Linked DNA regions of Saccharomyces cerevisiae S288C. The protein of the gene in region 2 binds, or shares a complex with, the protein of the main gene of each other region. Each region holds a gene or a part of one and is shown on either strand. Other genes may lie near its edges. A codon is read from its position in the direction of its gene.

What was found. The genes of interacting proteins can lie anywhere in the genome.
Region 1: the proteins of CSE4 (region 2) and AME1 are in contact, whole or in part, in a crystal structure (PDB 8T0P), measured with the Saccharomyces cerevisiae proteins. Residues at the interface, in NP_012875.2 of Saccharomyces cerevisiae: Ile34 (codon at 1,091), Arg37 (codon at 1,082), Ala38 (codon at 1,079), Leu41 (codon at 1,070), Arg44 (codon at 1,061); in NP_009770.3 of Saccharomyces cerevisiae: Asp188 (codon at 914), Lys190 (codon at 908), Asp191 (codon at 905), Ile192 (codon at 902), Asp194 (codon at 896), Ile195 (codon at 893), Ser198 (codon at 884).

Annotation. Positions count from the first base shown.
Region 1 is NC_001134.8:645,658-648,784, forward strand, and holds AME1 (Ame1p), read right to left. Parts: upstream 1,476-3,127; coding exon 501-1,475; downstream 1-500. Other genes in the region: ERV15 (Erv15p), read left to right, coding at 1-321; NGR1 (Ngr1p), read left to right, coding at 2,229-3,127.
Region 2 is NC_001143.9:345,575-348,352, forward strand, and holds CSE4 (centromeric DNA-binding histone H3-like protein CSE4), read right to left. Parts: upstream 1,191-2,778; coding exon 501-1,190; downstream 1-500. Other genes in the region: LPX2 (Lpx2p), read right to left, coding at 1-46; serine/threonine protein kinase ELM1, read right to left, coding at 1,640-2,778. UniProt on the Saccharomyces cerevisiae protein: Histone H3-like nucleosomal protein that is specifically found in centromeric nucleosomes. Replaces conventional H3 in the nucleosome core of centromeric chromatin that serves as an assembly site for the inner kinetochore.

The DNA.
Region 1 (3,127 bases), on a different chromosome or scaffold from region 2:
TATATCAACTCAATCGAACTGTGTAAGAGGGTGAATAGGTTGAGTGTACCAGAGGCAATTCTACAAGCTTTCATTTCTGCATTGTTTCTTTTTAACGGGTACTGGTTCGTATTTCTCTTGAATGTCCCTGTTCTAGCATATAACGCAAGTAAAGTCTACAAGAAAACACATCTACTGGACGCCACGGATATTTTCAGAAAATTGGGTAGATGCAAAATTGAATGCTTTTTAAAATTGGGATTTTACCTTCTCATATTCTTTTTCTACTTCTACAGAATGGTCACAGCGTTACTTGAAAATGATGCAAATTTGATAAGCTAATAGCGACAACAGGAAAAAAAAAGAGAGATTTGTGCATATCTATGAAGTATGTCTACCACATAAAAATGACCTTATAACACAACTTCCTTAGTATGGAAGTAATACATATATACATATATACATATATACATACATATATATATATATATATATATATATACATCTTTTGAACCAATTCCCTATAGACTTGGTTGTAATTCGTTAGAAAGATTTTCATTAATTTTATTTATCTTTTTCAGAAGTCCGTTATATGGATCCATCAAGTCTACGAAATGTGCAATATCCAGAATATTTGAGTCATCCCGTATTGAATCGTCCTCGCTATCTTGGCTCATAATTTTGCGATCTCCCTCGTATTTGCCTAGCAAAGTAGAAGTCAAATCATTTAGCCTCTTATTTAGCTTCACTTTGTCGTTCAGTTTGGCTTGTTCATTTTGTAAGTCATGCCAGTCTTTACCGGCTTTCAACTCTTGAATTTCATTTCGTACCGATATTATCTGCTGGTTCAAATCTTCTTTTCGAGCAAGTACCTGCTTCAGTTGGTAGCAGAGCTCATTATTCGACACGTTGATATCTAATATGTCTTTCAAGTCTCTGGTCATTTGGTCTGATATCGTTTGAAAGAGTCGCAGATCTAATTTGTACAATAGTTTCCTAAATTGATCATCATCACTTTTATTGAAATCCTTCAAAGCTTGCGGAATCAAATCATTTTCAAATAAGTTTATGAATAAAGAAGATAAAACATCAATTGTGGTCACAGAAGTGATAGACGATGATAGCTGTCTAATGGGTATATCATCGAAATTGTAACGAGTAGTAAGGTCTTCATCATTTCTAACATTTTGCGGCGATTCGCTTATAAGACTTTTATTTTCAGAGTCGATCATGGGATAGTCTTCTGCATCCAAGGGCTGATACCCATGTTCATGACGGTCCTGCGCATTTACGTTATTAGTGGTAATAGGAAACTCGAAAGAATTCGCAAGTTTTGGTGAAGACAAAATGGGTTGAACAGGAGATTGAATAGGTGAGTTCTCCTCTCTATAAACAGCATTTGGCGTCTTAAATACAATAACATCATCATCTATATCGTCTGTCCTTCTTGAATGACTGCCCCTCAGCCTAAAAGCTAATTTAGTGTCTCTATCCATACTGAGGTTTTTCTTTAAATGAACACGCAAATAGTCAAGACAATACAGAGCAACACAGGACACGTAAAAAAATGAGAGCAATCGCTTCTTATACTGCAACGATGTTGACCCTTGCCATAATAGCTAATGAAATCAATCATTATCATTTCTACTAGTCCTTTAACAATATTTGGATACACCATTAAATTTCTCCGTACAACACGATAAAATATTTTCTACCAGCTTCAAACGGCTGTGAAGGGGCGATAGTGCCGTTCCAAAAAGCGTTCCCCAAACTTGTATTCAAGACCAAATCTTAGTCAAGCAAGCAGTTTCGCACCTTCATACACTCCATTAAAAGTGAAAATAAGCATATTTGTAATTAAATCTGGTTATCATACCCTGTTCCCTTTAGAACCAATATACATAGACGCAGTCGACAAAGAAGCAATAAAAGAGATTACCATTCTTATTCACTATTTTTTTTTTTCTCTGACTCTTCATAGTTGTACGGAAAACCATCTGCGTGTTATATCCTAGTTCCAAATATTCTGATTTCTCGTGATCGAATCTGTTATATTGTCATATATTGTAATTCCATTTTTTTCCCGGTTCATTTTTTGATATTCTCTTCCTGTTCCAATATTAATAAAGGAGGCTTTTTTCTTTCCCTTTCGTTCTGATTTATATTGTTTTTACTATTATTGGATCTTTTAAATATTACAGCTTTTTCATATCCTTCGCCATCGATTTTTGCCTGAAAAATTTACACAAATGATGTCTAACGTTGCTAACGCCTCCCAAAGACAGGAAAATCCATATATTATTCCATTGCCTCCTTCATCCACAGTGGAAACTTCTACTGAACCCCCAAGAACGTTATGGATGGGAGATTTGGATCCGTCCTTCGACGAGGCCACGATTGAGGAGATATGGTCAAAACTGGATAAAAAAGTTATCGTTAAACTAATTAGAGCCAAAAAAAATTTGTTGATTCCTTGTAGCTCCACCTCAAGTAGTAATAACAACACAAGTGAGGAGAATGCTGAAAACCAGCAATCTGCATCAAACAGCACTGATCAGTTAGATAATTCCCAAATGATTAATATTAATGGAATATCCTTCATTGATCCTTCCACTACTCAATTACATCATGCCGGATACTGTTTTGTCGAATTTGAAACTCAAAAGGACGCTAAATTTGCCCTGTCATTAAATGCTACACCTTTACCTAATTTTTATTCCCCAACAACTAACTCCCAAACTAATCCAACGTTCAAAAGGACTTTCAGATTGAATTGGGCGTCTGGAGCTACTTTACAAAGTTCTATACCATCTACCCCAGAATTTTCCTTGTTTGTTGGTGATCTTTCTCCCACCGCCACTGAAGCTGATTTGTTATCTCTTTTCCAAACGAGGTTCAAATCTGTTAAAACCGTCCGCGTGATGACTGACCCTTTAACAGGATCATCTCGTTGTTTTGGATTTGTCAGATTCGGTGATGAAGATGAGCGCCGCAGGGCACTGATTGAGATGAGTGGGAAATGGTTTCAAGGAAGGGCCTTAAGAGTCGCTTATGCCACGCCAAGAAATAATATGATGCTGCAGTTACAGGAACAACAACAACAGCAACAACAATTGCAGCAACAGCATCAGCAGCTAGATCAGGAGGA
Region 2 (2,778 bases):
GGACAGATTCCACATCGGTGGTTTGCAACGCAGATATTAGTGACATTATAGTATTGTACTTGTTCCTAAAGTTTTATTGTCAATCACACTCTAAAACTACTGATTTGAACTCATGTGATCACTTTTGTTTAGACATTGTAGAAAACATGGTGCTTTCTATGAAGATTTTCATGTGTTAAATACCATCTTTGAGTGCATCATTTTCCATCATGTATATCCTGCAGAAGTATCCCTTAATCAGTCTGAAAAAGAAATAACCTCTACCCTTAACCTTTGATTTGGAGCTTCATCGCGAAATATAGGGGACTGCCAAAAATGTCTTACAAAGCCAACAAGTGAACATGAAAAAAAAACTGTCAACAGCGGAGAGCACTTGTCGAACCGAAAGGTATGCTAATATGACCTTATAATAACCTTATTTAAAACATTTAAAGTACCTTAAGTCAATATAAACCCCGAAAAAGGGAAAAATCGGCTCCAGCCCTGAAGCACAAATATCACTAAATAAACTGTCCCCTGATTCTTCTTGCTAGTTGCATGTCTTTCTTCATTATAGTAATTCTTTTTGCATGCAGCGCCAAGAGGTTTGTATGTTCCAATAATCCTACCAGATACGCTTCGCTTGCTTCCTGTAACGCCATAATCGCCATTGACTGCCAACGTAAATCCTGATCTTTAGTTGTAAACTCGTCTGTAACTTCTTTCACTAGCCTTGCAAATGGAATTTTGGAGATTAATAAATCCGTGGAACGTTGGTATTTTCGAATTTCGTACAGAGCTAATTCACTAGGAGTATATTTCTTTTCGACGCGCTTTAAGCTCTGCTTTCTTTGTTTTTCCCTCCTTTTCTGTCTAACATATCTGTCTAAGGCATATGAATGAGTTCGCACTGGTGCAGGTACTTCAGTTTCCATTTCAGCTTCTTCTTCATTTTCTGTCTCGATTTCTAGATTACCTGCTTGGTCTTCGTAGTCTGTTTCGATATCTAGGTCACTTTTTGAGCTTTCATAACGTCTTCTTTCCTCTCTTCTTGGAAACAGGTTCTTTGTCGCTCTTGTTCTCTGCAATAACGATAACGCACGATCGTTAATAGATTGTTGGTCTCCTGCAAGCCTGTTGACGTTACTGAGTGATCTTCCACTCGAATCACTTTGAATAGCAGAACTAACCCATTGTTGTTTACTTGACATGATTATGTTATATTAGTATTCTTTCTATATTCAGTCCTTCTTCTGTTTTTTATAAAGTAAATTCTCAAGATTATCTACTACTGTTTTTAAGAGATGTTTTCTCAATATTTATCGATGAAGTTTTGTTTTTCTTTTGTTTTCAATTTACTTCCGCGATTTCGCGACACAGTGGGATCAAGATAAATCATATCGTTCGATATTCTCGCAATAGAAGACCACTAAACTCTCAATTGATAAATGTTGATGTCGATTTCAATTATCAATGATGGTATATTATGAATATTATCTTTAGTGTTATTAATACAAATGCAAATGTGGGTAATTTGCCGTTTCTATATATATATTTATGTATTTACCATAACCAAGTAAATCAATTAATAATCATATTTCACATCGGCTATACGATTATCAGCTAACCCAATCCGACAGATATCATCCTGTAGTTTCATCTATATTTGACCATTATCTGCAAAGTTCAGATACGTTTTTACATCTTCTACTGTTTCTCGAATGTCACTATCTTCCGAATTTATGTATGCTTTAAAGTTGAGAATATTACTTGAATGAGCAAGCTTTCTAGCCCCTGAATTGTTAACCGTGCGCTTTCCAACAGTCCTATCCATTAGTGGGGAACTCGGTTTGTCCTGTGAGCAATTAATATGGGTTCTGTTCCCGTTCTCTTTAGGGGAACTCTTTAGTCTTATCATGGCTTTGATAGGTGTTGGGATTTTCAATGACGAATGAGAGGATGACTCGCTTCTGTCAGTTTTCATGTCCGAATTCTGCTTATCATTATTCACAGTCAAATTAGGTAAGCTTTCATTTGACCTACAAAAAGTATCTAAGAAATCCGTAACCTGAATGGCTTCCTCCCCTAACGATGAACAATAATCGCTCGAGTCTGGCGAAGATCTAAGGACCGTAGTCGAAAAACATTCTTTATCCGGTTCCTCGTCGATATGTATCGAAGGTGTTACTTTACTAGTTGCAGATACCAATACCTTGTCTTTCCCTTTTCCTGAGGTCTTTTTCTTTCCTTTTTTAGTCAGTAGCCTACCAAAAAATCTTCTTACAGGACCTTCGTTTCTTACGGGGTTCACACTGGACGATGAAATTTGACTGTGATTCCTAGAATCTATGGGCTGGTCACGCGACAAAACCTTTACTAAATCCTGAATACTTATGCGTAAAGTAACGTCTTTCTCCAATAACCTTTTAATGACTAAATCGTTTAAAGTATTACCATTTATTTTGGAACTCAATGATACTTCGATGATTTTGTGGTAGGTTTCGAATTCATTTTCCCCGAAAAATGGCAGCTCGTTGTACAGTAAGCAGTATAGTGTCACTCCCAATGACCAAATATCCAACTTAAAGCCATCCGTCACAAAATCTCTTTTGGAATTGCCCAAATGACATAGCTCTGGTGCAATAAATGCCGGAGTACCAACAATTTTGTTCAATTCCCTCTGAAAACAATCTTCAAAATTAGCATCGCTGAAAGGTAATGATTGGGGAGTGAAAATACAACTTCCAAAATCAGAAAGTTTCGCTACTTTTTCTTCTTCATCCAATAAAATATTGGACG